Oryzias latipes: one gene and its partners. The protein of the gene in region 2 interacts with the protein of the main gene of each other region in a pairwise test. Links are inferred from orthologs where the notes say so. Each region holds a gene or a part of one and is shown on either strand. Other genes may lie near its edges.

Region 1 (3,500 bases), on a different chromosome or scaffold from region 2:
TGAGTTAGTGAAACCTTCTCTGAGTTAGTGGAACCTTCTCTGAGTTAGTGGAACCTTCCCTGAGTTAGTGAAACCTTCTCTGAGTTAGTGAAACCTTCCCTGAGTTAGTGAAACCTTCTCTGAGTTAGTGAAACCTTCCCTGAGTTAGTGAAACCTTCCCTGAGTTAGTGAAACCTTCCCTGAGTTAGTGACACCTTCCCTGAGTTAGTGAAACCTTCTCTGAGTTAGTGAAACCTTCCCTGAGTTAGTGAAACCTTCCCTGAGTTAGTGACACCTTCCCTGAGTTAGTGAAACCTTCTCTGAGTTAGTGAAACCTTCCTTGAGTTAGTGAAACCTTCCCTGAGTTAGTGACACCTTCTCTGAGTTAGTGAAACCTTCCCTGAGTTAGTGAAAGCTTCCCTGAGTTAGTGAAACCTTTTCTGAGTTAGTGATACTTCTCTGAGTTAGTGAAATCTTCTCTGAGTTAGTGAAACCTTCCCTGAGTTAGTGAAACCTTCCCCGAGTTAGTGAAACCTTCCCTGAGTTAGTGAAACCTTCCCTGAGTTAGTGACACCTTCTCTGAATTAGTGAAACCTTCCCTGAGTTAGTGAAACCTTCTCTGAGTTAGAGAAACCTTCTCTGAGTTAGTGAAACCTTCCCTGAGTTAGTGAAACCTTCCCTGAGTTAGTGAAACCTTCCCTGAGTTAGTGAAACCTTCCCTGAGTTAGTGAAACCTTCCCTGAGTTAGTGAAACCTTCTGTGAGCTAGTGACACATTCTCTGAGTTAATGAAATCTTCCTTTGAGTTACTGAAACCTTCTCTGAGTTAGAGACACCTTCTCTGAGTTAGAGAAACCTTCTCTGTGTTAGAGAAACCATCTCTGAGTTAGAGAAACCTTCTCTGAGTTAGAGAAACCTTCTCTGAGTTAGAGAAACCTTCTCTGAGTTAGAGAAACCTTCTCTGAGTTAGAGAAACCTTCTCTGAGTTAGAGAAACCTTCTCTGAGTTAGAGAAACCTTCTCTGAGTTAGAGACACCTTCTCTGAGTTAGAGAAACCTTTTCTGAGTTAGAGAAACCTTCTCTGAGTTAGAGAAACCTTCTCTGAGCTAGTGACACATTCTCTGAGTTAGTGAAACCTTTTCTGAGTTAGAGAAACCTTCTCTGAGCTAGTGACACATTCTCTGAGTTAGTGAAACCTTTTCTGAGTTAGAGAAACCTTTTCTGAGTTAGAGAAACCTTCTCTGAGTTAGAGAAACCTTCTCTGAGCTAGTGACACATTCTCTGAGTTAGTGAAACCTTTTCTGAGTTAGAGAAACCTTTTCTGAGTTAGAGAAACCTTTTCTGAGTTAGAGAAACCTTCTCTGAGTTAGAGAAACCTTCTCTGAGCTAGTGACACATTCTCTGAGTTAGTGAAACCTTTTCTGAGTTAGAGAAACCTTCTCTGAGCTAGTGACACATTCTCTGAGTTAGTGAAACCTTTTCTGAGTTAGAGAAACCTTTTCTGAGTTAGAGAAACCTTCTCTGAGTTAGTGAAACCTTTTCTGAGCTAGTGACACATTCTCTGAGTTAGTGAAACCTTTTCTGAGTTAGAGAAACCTTCTCTGAGTTAGTGAAACCTTCTCTGAGCTAGTGACACATTATCTGAGTTAGTGAAACCTTCTCTGAGTTAGTGAAACCTTCTCTGCAGTGCTCTCTGTATTTCTGGGTTTCCTATGATGCCAGAGTTCTGCTGTGATTGAAATGTCTGTCTGTGTTTACATGAGAGCGGAGGGTTTCTCCGCCATGAAGCCTCACGGTGCACAGCGCATCAGTAACGGCTGCATGCCCCCTGTTCTCTTTGTGCTTCATGCTTCTTTAGGAGTTTGCTGCACTAACAAAGGAGGTGAACGTGTGCCGGGAGCAGCTTCTGGAGAAAGAGGAGGAGATCGCCGAGTTGAAGGCGGAGAGGAACAACACCCGGGTGAGTGAGATGCACACCTTTTTCCTTGGATCTAGCTAGCAACAGTTGTCAAAACAAAAACTCTTTTACTGTTTAACATTGACAACAAATCTTATGGAGACAAAAAACAGTTCATGGTTTCCAAAATGTGTAGTTTGAGAGCAGGAGCGAGGCTTCACTCTGGTCCTCCCTGTCTGTGGTGTGTGCAGCTCCTGCTGGAACACCTGGAGTGCCTGGTGTCGCGTCACGAGCGCAGTCTGAGGATGACCGTGGTGAAGAGGCAGGCTCAGTCTCCTGCTGGTGTCTCCAGCGAGGTGGAGGTCCTCAAGGCTCTCAAGTCACTTTTTGAACACCACAAAGCCCTTGATGAGAAGGTGTGTTTTTGTAGGGAATGTCCAACAGCTCCTGGTAGAATACTGTGCTTGATAAGGATGAATGAAGTTAAAAAGGTTTATGTTCCACCTTTGAAGGTAAGAGAGCGTCTTCGTGTTGCTCTGGAGCGATGCAGCGCTTTGGAGGAAGAACTCGCCATTTCACACAAAGAAGTGAGTAAACACTACAAACTCTGTTTGGGGCTTAGGATGTAAACGGGGTGTTTCGGCTCCAAGTTAGAAGAAGTGCGGCTACACTGGACTTTGTTTAGTATTTATTGAAGTCTCAAGAGCTCAGAGGCTGTTTGTTCATGCATGAATCTACCTGATGTCCTTCATCCGAGGACTGTGGTACATATAGCAGGTTCCAGATGTTATCTGAGATCGCTTCAGTCAGACTTTGCAGAAATCATGTCACACCAGGTTAGTAAATGCTGTGAGGCCATTTGAGCTTTATACAAATGCGTTGAAATGAATCTCATAAAGAACTTTGTGTGATGTTTCTTTGTCCCTCATGTTTTTGATGCCTGCACCAGCCACCCTTGTGAGGGACCAAAGGCTGATTTATGTGAGGTTTAATGCCTTTTGTGAGGCAGAGGGGAAAAAAAAACAAGCACAGGAACCGCGAGAATTGCCCCTTACCCCATAACTTCTGCTAGTTGCCTCTGCTTTTAGTTTAACCCGATGAAGCAGCAGAACATGTGAGGGTTTGTACCAGGCTCCAGAAAGACCTAGAGGAGAATTTTTTTCTCTCAATAACCTTTATTGCACATTTTTCAATTTACAGAAATTCACATTCAGTTGCACAATAAAGAAACAATTGTTACTATCAAACACACATATAAGACCAAACAACAATAATAGGAATAAGCCCTTTTTGTGTGTGTCCCTGCTGGACTTACAGCAGCAACAGAATGTTTAGGGAAGAGGGTTGATATGGAGACAGCGATGTGGTGACACTGATGCTACCATGCTATCATGCAACCATGCTATCATGCTAAAATACTCAGATGCTTTATTGCTGTGTGTCGCCTACATCTGATCACGGACCGGTTTAAAGTCAGACCATATTTTCACAGAGCGAACTTTAAGACGTGGAGGATAAATGCCACAAAAAGAATTCATAGAACATTAATAAAAACTGTATTTTATAAATATAATAACAGACACTTTCTGCTGGCTCTTGTAACATTACAGAGCCCAGCGTTGAGC
Region 2 (3,500 bases):
TCTGGTGGATGTGTGGAACATGATCGAAGCCTTTCGGGACAACGGCCTCAACGCGCTGGACCACAACGCTGAGATCAACGTGTCGCGGTTGGAGACCATCCTGTCCTCCATCTATTACCAGCTCAACAAGCGTCTGCCCACCACCCACCAGATCAACGTGGAGCAGTCCATCGGGCTGCTGCTCAACTTCATGGTGGCGACCTACGACAGGTACGACAGGAGCGCAGAGGAACGACAGGACGTTGGTGACGATGTCTTGAAGTTGAAAGGTGACATCTGGACTCAAAGTCTTCTGTCTTGGAAACGTTTCCTGCCCTCCAGAGACGGACGAAGGTTTCCAGGGTGGAGGACTTCAAGTCCAGACGCCACGATTTAGCTGCAAGACAATTACAGGAAGCTGAACCAGAAGAAGAAAGTCTTTGAAACGTCCTAAAAGAAGTCTGAATTAAGAGGCGATTCTGACTTTAACTGACAGAAACCAGACTAAAATCTTCTGTTTCCGTTTCTATCAGAAATCTTAAAGCTTAACAAATGTTTCTATTAACCGTTTTCAGCATCTGTAAGACTTTAATTCACTCTGAATTCCAAGGCAAGGCAAGGCAAGTTTATTTGTATAGCACAATTTTACACAAAGTAATTCAAGGTGCTTCACAAAACAGAAAAATGCATTAAAATCACAATACATCATAGAAATAATCAACGTAAAATTAACTTTAAAAGAAAAGAAAAAAACATTTTGAAAATTGATTTAAAAATAAAGGAAGGAAAGGAAAGAAAAGTGCAGATAGGACCTTTCAGTCATATACACGGCTAAACAGAAATGTTTTAAGTCTAGATTTGAACATGAACACAGAAGAGGCCTGTCTTACGACTTCAGGGAGGCTGTTCCAGATTTCAGCTGCAGAATATTGAAACGCTGATTCCCCTTGTTTAGTTCTGACTCTGGGAATCAACAGGAGGCCATACAGTGTTTTGGAGTTTTAGCCTTATTTGTTTTTTTTTCAAACATCTTCATTCAGTTTTTCTGAGCTTCCTACTCAACTCAAATGTTATTACCATTTATTTTCAAATTGTTTTCAAAATTCAGTTTAAAATTAATGTTTTTCAAATGAATAGTGTTTCTATTAATCTACTTTTATTCTTCTCAGAATGAACAGTTTTGAACTTTCTTTATAAAATGTGTCATGTCATTAAAGACTCTTTATTCTGTTCTATTGTGTTCTAGTCTATTATGTTCTATTCTATTGTGTTTTATTCTATTCTGTTATTTTCTAATCTATTGCATTTGTATTCTGTTCTGTTTTATTATTTTCTGTTTTATTGTATTCTATTCGTTCTATTCTCCTTCTATTCTTTTTTCTGTTCTATTCTGTTCAATTGTGTTTTATTCTGTTCTATTCTATCCTGTTCTATAATGTTTTATACTTTTCTGTTCTCTTGTGTTCTATTCTATTCTATTCTGTTCAATTGTGTTCTATCCTGTTCTATTGTGTTTAATTCTTTTTTATTGTGTCCTGTTCTATTCTATTCTATTCTATTCTATTGTGTTCTATTTTCTTCTGTTGTTTTCTGTTCTTTTGTGTTCTAATGTGTTTCATTGTATCCTGTTCTGTTCTATTCTATTGCGTTGGTTTCTATTCTCTTCCATTGTGTTTTATTCTACTTTATTCTATCCTGTTCTATTTTGTTCTAATCCCCTCTGTTCTGTTCTATTTTTTCTGTTCTATTCTGTTCTATTATGTTTGTTTCTTTTCTATCCTGTTTCATTGTGTTGTATTCTATTGTGTTCTATTCTCCTTTCTTCTATTATATTCTTTTTTGCTTGTTCTATTTTGTTGTCTTTTGTTGTCTTTGATTTGGTTTGATTATTGTTTGTTTCTATTCTATTGTTTTCTATTCTGTTCTATTTTTTCTGTTCTGTTTTGTTTTATTTTTTTCTATTCTATTCAATTTAAATGAACATTTATTAATGTCTTAAATCCATCTCCACACTTTAGACACACTTTATTTTCAGGAACACAATCTTTGCGTTCTTAGGACTCTGTTTCAGTTTTTGATGTCAAAAAGTGAAAAAGGTAGAAAAACATGAAACTGTCTTTTTCTCCAGTGACAGTCCGGGGAAGATGACCGTGTTCTCCATGAAGACCATGCTGGCCACCATGTGTGGAGGCAAAATTGTGGACAAACTTCGCTGTAAGACCAGTTTTGAGAGTGTTACATTTAGAAACATTTGTGTTTGTTTTCTTTGAGCACAACCTTCTGAACCTACATGCAGTAAATGAAGCTGAAAGCAGGGGGCGCTGTGGGTCCAATCACCAACTGTCTGCGGGTTTCAGACATTTTTTCACAGATCTCTGACTGCAGTGGACTGATGGTGTTTGCTAAGTTTGACCAGCTGCTCAGGGAGGTGTTGAAGCTCCCCACCGCCGTGTTCGAGGGGCCGTCCTTTGGATACACAGAACATTCTCTGCGGATGTGTTTTCCACAGCAGGTGGGATGCAGAAGACGCATTCCTACACGTCTTTCCCAATAAATGCACTGATGTTTGTGTTTGACACCAGAAGAAGATCCTGCTGAACACGTTTTTGGATGTGCTCATGGCAGACCCCCCCCCTCAGTGTCTCGTGTGGCTCCCACTGATGCACAGACTCGCTAACGTTGAAAATGGTGAGTTTTTGCCTGTAGGAAGGTTCGAACCCTGGATGGGACCTTCCTGTGTGGAGTTTGCATGTGTGGTATTTCTGTAGCTTCCCCCTACAGTCCATGAAATGATGACATAAAGAACCAAATCCGTCCAACGCCAACGTTCCATCCAGACACGCTGACGTTCCATCCAGACACGCTAACATTCCATCCAGACACGCTAACATTCCATCCAGACACGCCGACGTTCCATCCAGACACGCTGACGTTCCATCCAGACACGCTGACGTTCCATCCAAACACGCCGACGTTCCATCCAGACACGCTGACGTTCCATCCAGACACGCTGACGTTCCATCCAAACACGCCGACGTTCCATCCAGACACGCCGACGTTCCATCCAGACACGCTGACATTCCATCCAAACACGCTGACATTCCATCCAGACACGCCAACGTTCCATCCAGACACGCCGACGTTCCATCCAGACACGCTGACATTCCATCCAAACACGCTGACATTCCATCCAGACACGCCGACGTTCCATCCAGACACGCCAACGTTCCATCCAGACACGCCGACGTTCCATCCAGACACGCTGACATTCCATCCTGACGTTCCATCCAGACACGCTGACGTTCCATCCAAACACGCTGACGTTCCATCCAAACACGCTGACGTTCCATCCAAACACGCCGACGTTCCATCCAGACACGCTGACGTTCCATCCAGACACGCTGACATTCCATCCAGACACGCTGACGTTCCATCCAAACACGCCGACGTTCCATCCAGACACGCAGACGTTCCATCCAAACATGCCGACGTTCCATCCAAACACGCTGACGTTCCATCCA
Region 3 (3,500 bases), about 18 Mb from region 2:
TATAATCTCGTTTGATGCACAGAACCTTTTGTTCATGCAGAATCACCTTTAAAGTCAGTAAAAAAAAAAGTCCCATCACTGTCACACATAGGTGTGTGAAATTTGTTCTCTGCATTTGACTCATCCCCCGGGAAAGCCGTGAGCTGCAGTCACTACATTTGGTGGGTTAATTTCCCAATCCAAAGGCTGAGTGCTCTTTGTTTTGACTTGTTTGTGGATTTGAACTCGAACCTTCCAGTTTTAGGGTGGACACTCTTCCACAATGGCACTGAGCTGGTCTTGTACTTGCGAGTCTTCAGATTTCCTAGCAGAAGAGGTCACAAGTCTCTCATGGGGGAAACTCAGAAATTAAGCAGCATGCTGATATACTGACACGCCAAAGAAATTCATTTGAAATTTTCAAAATTACTTTTTTTTTAAGTTGTTAAGCTTTTTTTAAAGTTTTGTATTCAAACAAGATTCTCTATGACAAATAAGATTCTCTATGACAAAGTTCCAAGAAGAAAACTTTGCAATATATTCTGGATGTCCATTTTGACAGGTTTTCCTAAACTTTCCTTAGTCAAAAGTTTTGGGTTTTAAATCTGCAAAAGGAATTTTTTTTCTTCTATTTTCCAGCGTTCACAATGTCGCACAAAACTAATTAACCCAAAACTAGAGCAGAGAAGCATGGCTCAATGGTGACATTTTGAGAAAAAGAAGATTAAACTGTTCATTGTGTACATAATTGGTCTGCTTGGTAAAATGTCAATGCTCTTTTCAACGCCAACAGACAAAATCTGGGATTGCTTTGCTCTACAATGAGGACACCAACAATACCTACGACGTCTGCCTGAAGCTGACCAAAGAGGCATTAACCATACAGAAGCTGGACGTGATTTGTACCAGTGGAACTGAATCCCAAGTAAATGTAAGTGCTCCTGAGAACTTAACACTTTTACTGCAGTTAATGTCGTTTTACTGCAGAAGACTGTCCCTGTACTCCCAATATCCCTTTTGCCAATAAGAAACTCCCACTTTTTAAAGCACAGAACTGTTGTACTGCGAAGACAAGCAACTGGAGGACTCGGCCTAAGCATCAAAGTAAGCAGATATGTTTACATTACTCAATGATGGAAGTGAAAATGAAACATATTTGAGTGGAAGTGATTAAAGTTGGTTATTTTTTTTATGTAGAAAATGAGTTTGAAAAGAAAGTTACTCCATAATTCAACAGGTTTTTTTTTTTTTTTTTTTTGGTATTTTCAGGGAGGTGCAGAGCACAACGTTCCAGTGGTTATTTCTAAGATCTTTAAGGATCAAGTTGGTAAGTAAGGTTTGTAATTGTTTGACCTTTGTGTTGGCATTGGAGAGTTTTTTTACATGACCACAAAAGTCAGACAAGTGGGAGGAATCGGTAACGCTAATTCTTGGAAATGCGAGCATCGGAAAAACATCAGATGGCAATAATCTGATGTCAATTGGAGAACTACCTGAATACATAAATAATAATGGGATTTTTGAAATTCCTGCTCCTTTCAAAAGCTTTGTTTTCCCTACACATTGTAGTTCATCGTATTGTTAACTTTGCTATTATTTCCAAATTAAACAAAACGTTACTGCTGCTTTCTGTTTGTGTTTGTGTACACATGCACAGATGTAAAATTACAAAACATTTTAGAAATGGGTGGAAATGTGTTCAGAATTGGCTTTTTGGGGGAATTCTGAAGAGAATTATCCTCCACAAATTGGATTTCAAAATAAAATGATGCCCTTGAGGTTCCTTATTTTATTTTAGCATCTTCCCCCTTCCTTAATTAGGTTGGTCGATAATGTGAACAAAGTCTGAAAGCAACTTATTGGAGGGGTTACTACAGAACAATATTTTAATGAAGGAAAGAAACCATTAAAAAGCATGAAAGTCATTCCAAAAATTAAAAGAAAGTATGCTGCTTTCAAAATCGAAGAAAGGAGTTGATGATGAACACCGCTTTTTTTTAATGTATTGATTGCAGTGTTCAAAAGACAGTAAAAGTTTAATTATATTCAAGGATTGTCTGATTGTTTGGTACATTTAAATTCAACTTTCAGTACAAAACTGACATAGAAACAAGGGCACTATCTAACTTGTTTAAAAAAAAGACTAAGTTGTGTCACCAGAAAACAAAACAATTTGGATTTATTTTTTTTTGTATTTTGCAGAATAAAAGTTTTCAAATTCTTTTCCTTTTAACTTTACCGAAATGGTGATGTGGCCCTCCAACACAATGGTGAATGTAGGAGGGGACCATGGAAACCTTGACTAATCTCCTTTTAACGACATGGTTTCCTGTCACGCCAGTGCAAAAGAGTTGATATCCTGATTAGTTTGGAATTTCACGCTTTCTTGTGTTTAGTCTCTGAGCTTTAGGATGGTGTCTAAGATAAGTATGACGGAGACACTGATTGTTATTTCTATCATGTCAGAGATGAGCAATTATCCTTTAATGTTTTCATTAACCTCCATCAATTGCTCTCTGCAGCCGATCAGACTGGAAAGCTTTTCATTGGAGACGCCGTCCTTCAGGTTGGTGCAGAAGTTTAAATTGCATAGAAACTGTTCAGGTCACAATATGAAGAATCTTTATTTCAAACCTGCTATAAAGTGAAAAGGTCCACTAAAGGACATAAATTTACATTTTTTAAATTGCAAGTTCAACTAGAAATGTTTTCTTTGCAAATATATTTGCAAATAGCTGTCAGTCTGTGGTTGAAAATAAATATTGTGATCAGTAAATATCGCCTCAGAAATGAACTGTTTGAATTTGCCAAGGTTTTCTTGGAAAACATTCATGTTGGCTCATTTTAAAGTTAATTTGAGTCTGTCTGGCTTCCATATTGGATCGACTGTTGATCTAGAATATCAAAAAGACTGAATGGATGCCAAAGTAATACCCACATTCATAATGGACGTTATTACGAATCTTTTATTAATAGAGCTGCCGCTGCCTTCATCTTCAGATCACTACTGTTTACATTTATTTGCAAGTTGTCTGAAATGTCACAGAGCAGAATATTGAAGCTATTATCATACGTTAGTGAGAAGAAGACGCAAATTAGGCGTGGGCTTGTTTGAAAGAGAATAATGGAAAAATAGTGGTAAAAAAATGATGTATGTATGAAAAGTTTTACCTTTGCTATTATAAGGAGTTAGAAAAAGTAGCTCTTTAACAGAAACTCCAATCAGAGCTTTAAGTTATGCACTCTTTTATTTCTGCACATACCTCATTGCATTGAAATTGCTGAAAAAACACCATCAATGTCTTGTTAGTAGATGACACTTGTGTCCTATTGTGTCTGAGGCTTTTCTTTGTAGTTTTTGTTGCTGGCCGCTTGTTTTCTGTTCTGTTTTGTTTCATTTGTCATCATTTTTCTTTTTCTTACTTTTCTATTTTTTTAATTATTATCAGTATTATTTATTTATTGTTTTTTCAATAAATAGATAAATGCAAAGACTTGTGGTTTTATACACAAATGAGTCA
Region 4 (4,029 bases), on a different chromosome or scaffold from region 2:
AGCTGACCTGTGTGTTGGACGTGCTGTTCCCCTGCAGAACTCACCATTCCATCTGTAATGAGAGGCGCTGCTTGGTCTCCAGCTCCTCTCCTTCCAGTTTGAGTGTGTCGTCCTCCTCTCCTGCCTCTGCGATCTGCTCCCACTGCCTGCTGTCCACCCACAGAGCTTCCTGCAGGCTGAGGCCTCGGTCAATGCAGGTGACCCTGCGGCACAGCGGGCAGGCCAGCGCCAGGTAGCTGCTCCTGACCTGCTGCATGGCCTCCAGACACAGTTCACAGAAGGTATGTCTGCAGTGAAGCACCCGGGGGATCCTGTCCATGCGGGAGTAAGGGAAGAAGCAGACGGTGCAGTCGCTGTCCTCACACAGAACCATGGTCCAGATGGACGACGGCGATGTTCCTGCTGAGAGCCACAGAGGAGCTGCAGAAGGTCCCAGACGGTCCCACGGGCCCGGCTGGGAAGAAACATGAAAAGATTGTCCTTTGGTCAAACTTTACCCAGGAATGACAGCTGTATTTATTTCTACTCTAAGGAGAAAAAATGAATTAGAGGAATTTTTGATATTTTAATTCTTGTGAATGCAACCATTTCACATCAAGATAAGAAAACTCATTATTTTCTTGGATAATAACATGTCCTTTTAATAGTAAAAAGTTACAGTATAAAAAGAAGTTTACCACTGACAGAAGAAGAGGAGTCATGTTCAAATAAATCAAATGTTATACTTACTTGAGTGAAATGCTTCTAGTTCTCGTTCAGATCAGGTTTTTCCAAGTGGCTCAGTCTGCCTGCAGTCAAGAACTGTAAATGAACTGTCGCGTCTGCCGCCTGTTGAGAGTCCGCCGCGGCTGGGGGCGGAACAGAGACGTCTGTCACCGCCCAGGACTCGCCCAACAACAGCTGGGGAAGCTGAGCCAAGCCTCCGTCTTTGTTCCTGTGTTTGCTGTTAGGCCGGTGGAGGGCTGGTCGAAGGAGATGACTAACTTAGAAATGGTAAAAAGTTAAAAAAATAAATAAATAAATAAAATAAAAAATATCCACTCCAACCACTTGGATAAAAATGTTTTTCTTAGTGGAAAATAAAAAGCTTTGGGCAGTGGACAATAAAAACCTTTGGGCTCGTCCGGGATTTGAACCCGGGACCTCTCGCACCCAAAGCGAGAATCATACCCCTAGACCAACGAGCCACGCTTACACTTAGTCAAAATATGTAAATATAATCTGTATTGAGATGAAAATGGAGGGTGTGTCCGAATTCGGGGGCTGCGTCTTTCAGTGGCCGCGGCCTTCACGGTCGACGTTGGCCGGGTCATTCGTCGCGCGGGTTGTCTGGATGTTAACGGCTGTGAATTTGGACGAGTCTTAGCCGTAGATCATTCCAGCCGCGTCGGCGAATGTCCTGTCGCGTAGTAAGTAACGTGTCGCGTGACTGACTCAGAGAGGAGTAGTGATCCAGGCATGGAGTCCTTATAGTCCGGCTGAGACACAACAGGTACTGTACGGAGCCCGTGACCTGACATGGGTAAAAAAAAAAAATGTTCCCACGAAATAATAATTCATCTGATAAGTCATTCTTGGATTTACAGCAGATACTTTCACATTTCTGTCTGTGTATATTTCATTACAATGCATTGAAGACACGGAGGATGTTTAGAGGTCTGTGTGCACTTTTTTGGCATTTTCAACATGCTTATGCTAATTTAACAGACTATTTTCATTCATCTTTGTTGTTTTATGTTGAAACGGGACATTTCGTTTAAACATTGGTGTTCTGCGCATGACAGGTTCATGACGTAAGGTGACAAATGGACTTCTGGGTTTGTGATTGAAAAGGAAAATAAAGTAGCGGTCCTCTACACCCAAACGAGTCTCTGAGCTCCTTAGTTAACTCCGCTTTACCGACACCGAACCCTGGAAGGCTGGCTACACTAACAAAAATGTGATTTTAAGTCGTCAAAAGGCTCAAAATTTGTTTGTTTTTGAAACTTATCTGGAAATAAAGCTTCACAAAAGTCTCCACATATTTCGTCTTCAAGCTAGGCTCCGATAAACAGAAAACTTATGTGTTTTTACTTGTTTTTTACTATGACTTTTTCTTGTAGATTTACGAGAAAAAAACTCAAAAATTTACGAGATTTTAAGTTGTGAATTTATGAGATAAAACTCATAAATTAACGAGATAAAATCTCATAACGTCTTAAAATCTCGTAATTTAACAGTTATGACTTTCTTTCTCTGAAATTTACGAATTAAAAATCGTAATTTTAATTTTTTTTTTTTGTAAACTGAAAACTCCATCGTATTTATGAATCCACTGTGTTCTGAAGATAAAAACTTTGATGGTTTGTTTAAAATATACTTTATTTGGGGTAAAAATTGCTTTGACGCAATGCATTGTGGTCTATGGTACCGATTTACGTAGTGAGCACACTGGTTTTTGACAGAGCCTATGTCCGAAATCCCACCCTAACCGTTATATAGTGCATCTTACCATTTTGAAGTGCTGTCTGAACCTACAATTCCCAAATTGAGTGCCCCGCAGAAATTTCCCAGATGTCTCTGCGAAAAACCGGTGTGCCTCGACGCTCATTAGATCGGGAAATATAGACAACAATGCATTGCGTCTGTAATTTTTGCAGAAAAATGTATTTAAATGTTTTTAAAATGTTTTGTGTTTATCTTCAGAAGACAGTGGACTTATAAATAATCATCACAAAGTCACACCCCACCCCTCCCCTTTCGTTCTCACTCATGCAGCCCCGTGTGACACGAGATAGGAGCAGCTGCAGGGACGGGAATTCAAAGGTTTCAGGCTGTTACAAACTCTGTGATATAACAGACAACAGGAACCGAATAGTGGACCAGATATTTTTCCAAGCACTGAGCCGCTGTCACCACCGCCCCCATGTTAAATTTGCGCACCGGACGATTGCCCGTATTACCTGTGCATAAACCACCATCACCGCGCGCCCCCCCCTGACATCGCTTCGCGCCGCCTAGCCCCACTATTTGAGAAGAACTGGTCTAGTGGGTCTAGATGACCCAACTCCCAATGTTAAAGTGCCTAGGATAGCACGGTGTCTGAATAGCTTTTAAAATTCAAGGCATTATATAATGCTGCACTGTATAGTTTTTTTTAAAAGTTAGGGGTTAGGGCGGTAACAGGCTCCGTATGTATTCAATCTCTCAAAAAATAAAACAAAATTCTACAAGATGAAGTTCTCAAGAATTACACAATAGCTTTAGCTAGTTTAACGGACATATTTTATAACTTCCTTACAGGTTGTAAAATATATAATAACTGTAGTAACTTTGTGGGTTTGTAGAGTACCCCAAAATGGTTAATAAAAATACTTTTTTTTGTTTATTTACTTCTCATAAGTTTTTATACTAAATATAACTGTGTACAAGTACCTACCCTCTTTTGAGAATGTAAAAAAATTGTTATATAATAACTATAAACTATTTTTAAATTGTTTTATTAATCAGACTACATTAGTGTTAAATGTTAATTTTATCATGTGACTTATTTTTTGCAGAAATTAATTTTAACAATGTTTACCATACTCTTATTTGAATTCAGTAAAAGTTGAATTTAAGTATTTTGTTCTTATCATATCCAAGTAAAATCATCTTTTTAAGCCTCATAGAAACTTAAAACCAAATCTTTATAATAAAAAAGGATTTCTTGTGTATTTCTCTTTGACCAGACTAGATGTCTGTACTGCAGAATCAACTTATGGATAATCTTTGGTCACGCAGCATCCATCGACACCAAGCTCTGCAAACCCTGCTGATCTACAGTGAAGGCGCATCCCGAAACTCTCTTAGCAGATCAACAGACCAGATTAGTTTTAACCCTTTTGCTATCCTGGGAGTTGGGTCATCTAGACCCACTAGAGAGTGCTCTGAACCTTTTTTCTTGAATGATTTGTGATCTTCAGTGGTGTCCATGGATTACATGAAATCTTTCCACCTTTGTCATGGTAGGGAGAACACGTCAAAGTAAGGGTGTAGTCATCATTTTGT
Region 5 (3,459 bases), on a different chromosome or scaffold from region 2:
GGGGAGTGGTCGCTTCAACGCGCGTTTCTGAGCCCGGTGTGAACGCACGGTGAAAACCACGCCCCATGAGGTTTACTGTTGTCATGGCGACAACAGAAGCGTCTGAAAGTGTCACCAAAACCACCAGATTGATGAACATCAACAACTCTGTGTGTGTTAGACGGACTCCAAGGTGAACGGTACGGCCCTGTCCTCGCCCTCCACCTCCTCCCAGCGCTCTGACTCCTCCCTGCCCGTCCTACGAGTGGCCGCCAGCCAGACCACCGACACCATGGGTGAGTGCCGCCATGGCGCAGCGGCGTTGTCACGATCAGCCGCCGGGAAAACGCCAAACATCTGTTGATGCTTTGCAGGTGATGATGATCTGTCCAGCCCTTCCCAGGATGCATCTGGTCTAAAAGAAGTGATGGAGCAGCTCAACAATACCTTTCCTCACAGCCAGGGTGCGCTGTCTCCACTCTCCTTACTGCTGAGGTGTTGGGTGTTTGATCAGCTGACGTTGTCTGGACGTTGAGTCGTGGCGTCTGGGCTGACTGATGACGCTAAGTCCAGACGCCACGACTCAACCTGTGGACTTTTAGGAACTTTTAAGCTACAAGAATTAGAAATGTAGCGTCAGAGGATCTTTGTTTTCAGTTCTGTTTCCTGCTGTGAACTCGTGTCAGCTGAGACTTTAACGGTGGAGCTCTAGCTGCATGTTGACGTTCTTTGAAATGTTTTAACCCTTTGACTGTCTACAGCAGGGGTCGGGAACCTTTTTGGCCAAGAGAGCCATAAATGCCACATAATGCCATACAATAATGTAGCGTCCCTTTCCCACACTGAGGCACAGAGACTTAACTTCTTTTGAGGTTCTTTATTCTGGTTACTGCAGACCGCAACAAACGCCGTACAATTAATTCAGCAACTCCTTATTCTCTCCCGCCTAGACGAGAGCGTAGGTGTAGATGTGAGACAGACATAGAGCCAAACACACACTCACACTGCAGTGAGTGACGGGCAGCGGGTTTACGTTTTTACCATCCCTGCTGCCTGTACCCAGGCACGGCAATTCAAAGGTTTCCAGTTGGTACAAACTCTGTGAAATAATAGATAATAGTAACTGATAGCGCTGGCGCAGATTTTTCTCTCCAAGCACCGCTACTACTGCGCGCCTCTGGCATGGCATCAAACCCGAGATGGACTGGTCTAATGAAAAAAAAAGTATAATTAAAGATTTGTCTGCGAGCAACATGTGACCATCAAAAGAGCCATATATGGCTCGCCAGCCATAGCTTCCTGACCCCTGGTCTACACGGTTAACTGAAGCAGAGAGAAACAGCTTTGTGCTGACAAACACAGCTGTTGTATATCTTTATGAATGACATAAACAATCATAGAGCTACAATGACTCTGTAAGTCTGATACGATTCTGTCAATCACCTAGACCTCCGTAGAGTTACAGTAATTCTGTGATAATCTGATCCTAACTATGATAGTTAATGTAACAGAATACCAACAGATAGTGATGCTAAGAACGGCAGCTTGGCTCTTTTTTCCTTTTGACTCATCAGCCCAAAGCCGTTTTCTTTGAATTAATCTAAAATGATCATAATGTTACGGTGAGTGAAAGGGTGTGTGATATTTAGGCGTAGCCGCTGACATCGCTGGAGCTAAAAGCTTAACTCTGGAAAACTGCCCAAAGTTACCCACTAGTTAAGCCTCAGGTTAGCTCAGTTAAAAGGCACATCTGTTTTATTGGGGTGGGTGTGGGGGGTTCTCTGTTCATCCTAGCACTGCTCTGATCTTCTTTCTTGCGCCTGCTCTTCCATGGTCCAGGAGGGAGAAGGGGACATCATCTTTGAGCGGTCAGTGCCTCACTCCCCATCATCCATTTTTATTGCAGTGTGTCCTCCTGACAGACAGGGGGCAGCACAGGAGCAGGCTCATTCATGAGAACGTGACATCGCTAACGTCTGCTCTCCTCCCCGTCAGGTCCCAGCACCCCCAGCCATCATGGAGTCGGCGGTCATCGCCATGACAGACGCGCAGGACGCCATGGGACAGCCCTTTTGAACTCTAGCCCCGCCCCCTACATAAAGCATGCTTTTCTAGTCGAAACAACTGGATTGAAGAGTTTACAAAGAAATTCTAACATCTATTTTTGTGAATGATGGTTGTTGTAACTTAGACTGAGTAGTTTCTTAACGCGTCCTGACGTCATTCTCTGGTTTTTAAACTTCTATGCAAAACTGTAAAAAAACGGAGAGGGACAGACCGGATCTCTTTCTATTGACGAGCAGCCCGAGCATTTCACACATTTCTATCAAAAAATGATTGTAATAATACGTTTTCTAAGAGGACGCCGCTTCTGACTGATGTGTGTTTGTGTGTGACTACTGCATACCAAGGGTAACTGGGCAGGTAGAGCCACGCCCCTTTGTTTGAATGGCTGTTGGAGCCAAACTATAGGTGTTTGTCACCATCGTGGTAACCTGACATGCTAAGTACAGGTGCAGTCTGTAACTAGAGGGCGGGGTTGGACTTACAGGTGCAGTTTGGTTCCTACACCCGCTGTCCTCGGTCTCTGCCGTACTGATGTTGGTTTACAGACCAGACTGACAGAAGAAGGAAAATAGAAACCAATGCAATACAAAAACAGCTAAAGTATCAGACCCAACCAGGAGGATCCAAGTCCACGACCTGAAACAAGAACAACCCGTCCAAAAACGCAGCCCAAAACGATTTGACTCATCCGGCCCAAGCTGAACAAGAGCCAGACCAGACTCCGCCCCTTCCTGGTCTGGAGGTGTGTGTTGTGTGGAAGTGAACATCCTCAGCAGCAGCATGACCCGATGGTTTGTGCGTGAATCAACAAACGTCTGTTCTTCACGACATATCAGACTCCACCAAATGTATGCCTTACTACTGTATTACGAAATGCTTTACTATGTATCAATAAAGCACGCAGTTATGTCCAGCTGCTGGCGCCGTGGTGTTTGTGAGGCTGACGACCAGGTCCACAGGTTGACGGCTGGACTCTGGACTTGGTCCTCTTTGGTACATTTGGACAAAAAGCTCCATTTCTCTGCTCATCAAAGCAGCCTGAAGCCAAGAACCGTCTGACTGTTCAGAAACAACTATTGAAGTAAACCTGGATGTTTGAAAAGACTGAAGATGATGAGGGGAGGGACCCGCCTAACCCCTTCAGAGTCACAGGAGCCGACCTGGTTCCTGTTAAGTGAGGTTAGAGTTCACCATGGATGGGTTACCAGTGGACAGACACACTGGGGCTTTGGGGCTGTTTGGGGTCCAATGGACCCAGGATGCATGTTGTTGTAGACCAGAGGACATGTCCTCCACACAGGTGTTGATGCATAGATCCTTGATGAGTTCTTCTGTTTTTGCCATTTCTGCTCACATCTCTAACAAACTGTTGTAACGTTTACCCCCCCTGCACTCACATGAAAGAAGGGGGTG
Region 6 (3,164 bases), on a different chromosome or scaffold from region 2:
ATAGATAAAGTATTTTTTTTTTTTACACAATATTTTTTTGGTCCCACTAAACTTCTGGGTCCTTATCCATGTACTTTAATTGGGCTGGTATAAAATATTTTATCTCTATTTATCAAACAATATCTTAATCAGCCCTATCCTGAAAAAAACAAACAGATTTTATGACTTACACCTGAAGTTGAAAATAAGCAAATAAAGTTAAAATCATAAACAAAATGTTACCAACAGTAACAGATTTCTCTTTTGTTCAGATGCTTTAGGTACCTGTGAATATATAAAATTGTTAAACAATCATTAATAACACTCACACTTTCATATTAATAAATATTTATTAGTTATTTTAGTGAAAATGTATATAAAACCGAATTTTTTGCAGGGGAGGGGGGAGTTCTCCTCAAAATATTTTGAATACTGTGTGTATATTAACAGCTAAATATTACTGGTTGTAATGTTGAGAGTTTTGGTCTATTTTGGAGATTTGGAGATGAACATTTAGGATGCTTTGGAAATGTGTTTTTAAATTTAAACCTTATCTGAAGAAAGTATGTGTGTTTTATAGCAAACCTCTGCAGATCCTCTCCAATGGAAGGAGCCTGACATCCTTCAAGTGCTTCAGCTGTGGAGAGAGAAAGTGTTCAAGTTGTGCGTCCAGCTTCGCTCTAAAGACATTGAGACGAGAAGAGAAAAAGACAAAGTTCTTTTTGATGTATGAAAAAAGTCATTTGTTCTTCAAACTCTGTACATTTCATCAGTGTTATTTTTAACCAAAAAACACTTGTTCTGTCTCAGGTGAGATCCACGGAGCAGCAGCTCCAGCAGGAGCAGCACCAGAACCGTCTGCTCCAACACAGTCTGCAAGACAGGATGGCAGAGCTGGACCTGGAGAAGGTAGAAAAGGAGGTTAGCATCAGAACGTCTGAGCTCATAAAGACACTATAAAGATGTGTCTGCATGTCGCTTTTCTAAAAATATGTTGTTATCAAACTAGACACTGAGGGAAGATTTAACAAAAGTTGAGAGAGAAAATGCTGAGCTGAAGTCACAGAACCAGAGAGCAGAGGCTGAAATCAAGATCCTGATAGAAGCTGTGCAGAGGTAACTTTTATTTGATACAAATTGATTTTCATTTCTGTATTTCCTCAATGGTATTTATTGCAGTTTTTTCTCAACAGGTTCCAGAAGGAATTTGACCGCAAGACCGCAGAAGTAGACTCTGCTAAAACAAAGCTAAACACTTTTACCCAGAGGCTCTCTTTTGCTTCTAGAAGAGTGGAGACCATCCAGTGTAAGGCTTCTGGGGTTAGCTTGTTGACAGAAATTCTTCCTCATAGACGTGCATACAACATTTCAGTGAATACTGTTTTGGTTCTGCAGGTTTGGTCATGAGGCGAGCGGCTCTGCAGAAAATTGAGCAGGCGTGTCAACCACCAAAGCAAGAAAAGAACAGGTATAGGTTCACAATCAGATGATTGTCGTGCACAAACAGACCTGATTGGATAATTAAAAATGGTTCACATGAGTTTTTCCCATCAGATCTTATTTAACTAAATAAACCCAGTTCAAATAAATATTTGTTGAACTGGGACACTTGTAGTTTTGGGCACAATGACATCAAGCACTTTTATTTTTTTGTTTATTTTTTTATGTTTCATTTAAAGTGTAAAGAGTATATGCAATCATATTTTCTATTTGTCTAGATTTTCTACTCAAAATTAGGTTCACGAGTATTTTTGTTTTGTTCTATGGAAACAGTGATCCGAGATTTTGAACAAAATAGATCTTCTAAATATCACTGCATAATTTAAGACGTGACATCATTTTGCATCAAAAGCAACATTTCCCTTCAACCCTGTCAAAGATTTGAATTATTTGAATTATGAAAATTTAAGAATTCTTTGAGAAGGGTAAAAACTGTATTAATAACAAGTTTATATGGACTTGATTGTCTGTTTTATTGATATTTTTAACTTTGCATTTTCTTACAGTTCGTCTTCTTATAGTATTTTTTGTCTTGCAGCTTGACAAACTTGCAGACGGAATACGGTCTGATTTGCGAGGAGCGAGACAGGCTGAGTCTAGAGCTCAAAAGAACCCCAGAGCTCATTGAGAAAGCTCTCGCTGATCTGAAGGAACAATGTGAGATCATGTTTTGATTTATGACTTTTCTGGAATCCATGATTGGGATTAGACTTCTTCTGTCTGCAGATGGGAGTAAAGTCAGGCAGCTGGAGCAGGAGCTGGAGCTGAGCTGCATGGAGGTGAAACAGGCTCTAGCCGGTAAAGAGAAGGCGGAACAGAGGCTGCAGCAGATCCAGGCACAGCTGGATGAGACCAGCATCAGCTTGGAGACACTTCCCTGTGAGCTGCTCCACCAGCAAGAGCGAAACCAGCAGGGTGAGGCAGCGACTTGACTTTGAACGGAACTGGCCTTTTCTGGAAAGGTTCTTGTTTTGATGCTTCAGCAGCCTTACGGGGACCCGGACACTATGTCTCCAGCTGATCAAGTGGAGTCAACCATGTCAAACTGAAACTTTTGTTAAAAACTGATCAGCTTTGAGAAAAAAAGATATAAAGAACATTGTTCACATTCTTATTGTTCATGTCCTCCTGACTACCAGAAATGTAAAGTTGTCCATTATAGAGGGTATTTTAAACCCCAATATTTCCCAACCTCTCTACTACTAAATTTACTCATCTGGTATCTAAGAGGACATTTAAGGCTTTTCAATGTTACTAAGTGGAAAAGGATGGGGCTTATTTTTTTTCTCTGGTAGTTGGAAGAATAACACTTTTTTAAATATCTGGAAATCAGAACAAAATTTTGTGTAAAATGTTTAGGATATGTCTTCATATAATGTTTTTATTTTGCTTTTTAATTAATAATTTATCCAATTTTTTATTATTTTGTGTCAAACCTTGTAAAAACGTAACACTACTGGATTCCTTAGCTTCAGTTCTTTTTGATTTCCATATTAAGTGATGATGCAGGCATCACATTTACCGTTTACCATAAGTGTTTACTTTCCTTTAGAGGAATTTTTATTTATTTTTATTATTATTATTATTATTTTTTTTTTTTTACAAAAAATAGTACCTAAAAAGGAAAAAAAGTGAAGAAAAATACCACAAAACCATCCAACTGTGGAGACTAAAACCCAGATATA

Evidence for each region.
Region 1: the proteins of dystrobrevin beta (region 2) and liprin-alpha-1 interact in binary tests that used the Homo sapiens proteins (3 or more experiments, as listed by UniProt). The link is inferred for Oryzias latipes from reciprocal best matches to the Homo sapiens genes DTNB and PPFIA1.
Region 3: the proteins of dystrobrevin beta (region 2) and sntg2 interact in binary tests that used the Homo sapiens proteins (3 or more experiments, as listed by UniProt). The link is inferred for Oryzias latipes from reciprocal best matches to the Homo sapiens genes DTNB and SNTG2.
Region 4: the proteins of dystrobrevin beta (region 2) and cep63 interact in binary tests that used the Homo sapiens proteins (3 or more experiments, as listed by UniProt). The two-hybrid records come from large-scale screens. The link is inferred for Oryzias latipes from reciprocal best matches to the Homo sapiens genes DTNB and CEP63.
Region 5: the proteins of dystrobrevin beta (region 2) and dmd interact in binary tests that used the Homo sapiens proteins (3 or more experiments, as listed by UniProt). The link is inferred for Oryzias latipes from reciprocal best matches to the Homo sapiens genes DTNB and DMD.
Region 6: the proteins of dystrobrevin beta (region 2) and coiled-coil alpha-helical rod protein 1 interact in binary tests that used the Homo sapiens proteins (3 or more experiments, as listed by UniProt). The link is inferred for Oryzias latipes from reciprocal best matches to the Homo sapiens genes DTNB and CCHCR1.

Annotation. Positions count from the first base shown.
Region 1 is NC_019861.2:2,121,644-2,125,143, forward strand, and holds part of liprin-alpha-1, read left to right. Parts: intron 1-1,836; coding exon 1,837-1,938; intron 1,939-2,126; coding exon 2,127-2,291; intron 2,292-2,387; coding exon 2,388-2,462; intron 2,463-3,500. UniProt on the Homo sapiens protein: May regulate the disassembly of focal adhesions. May localize receptor-like tyrosine phosphatases type 2A at specific sites on the plasma membrane, possibly regulating their interaction with the extracellular environment and their association with substrates.
Region 2 is NC_019880.2:104,019-107,518, reverse strand, and holds part of dystrobrevin beta, read left to right. Parts: coding exon 1-210; intron 211-2,107; coding exon 2,108-2,193; intron 2,194-2,336; coding exon 2,337-2,491; intron 2,492-2,561; coding exon 2,562-2,667; intron 2,668-3,500.
Region 3 is NC_019880.2:18,097,927-18,101,426, reverse strand, and holds part of sntg2 (gamma-2-syntrophin), read left to right. Parts: intron 1-772; coding exon 773-910; intron 911-1,026; coding exon 1,027-1,083; intron 1,084-1,248; coding exon 1,249-1,306; intron 1,307-2,501; coding exon 2,502-2,545; intron 2,546-3,500. UniProt on the Homo sapiens protein: Adapter protein that binds to and probably organizes the subcellular localization of a variety of proteins. May link various receptors to the actin cytoskeleton and the dystrophin glycoprotein complex.
Region 4 is NC_019862.2:2,686,827-2,690,855, reverse strand, and holds the start of cep63 (centrosomal protein of 63 kDa), read left to right. Parts: upstream 1-1,229; 5' UTR 1,230-1,492; intron 1,493-4,029. Other genes in the region: uncharacterized protein LOC111947333, read right to left, coding at 45-373. UniProt on the Homo sapiens protein: Required for normal spindle assembly.
Region 5 is NC_019860.2:218,307-221,765, forward strand, and holds the end of dmd (dystrophin), read left to right. Parts: intron 1-160; coding exon 161-275; intron 276-353; coding exon 354-443; intron 444-1,818; coding exon 1,819-1,844; 3' UTR 1,845-1,847; intron 1,848-1,974; 3' UTR 1,975-2,959; downstream 2,960-3,459. UniProt on the Homo sapiens protein: Anchors the extracellular matrix to the cytoskeleton via F-actin. Ligand for dystroglycan.
Region 6 is NC_019872.2:16,058,902-16,062,065, forward strand, and holds part of coiled-coil alpha-helical rod protein 1, read left to right. Parts: intron 1-559; coding exon 560-706; intron 707-789; coding exon 790-900; intron 901-988; coding exon 989-1,095; intron 1,096-1,172; coding exon 1,173-1,285; intron 1,286-1,374; coding exon 1,375-1,447; intron 1,448-2,017; coding exon 2,018-2,136; intron 2,137-2,205; coding exon 2,206-2,394; intron 2,395-3,164. UniProt on the Homo sapiens protein: May be a regulator of keratinocyte proliferation or differentiation.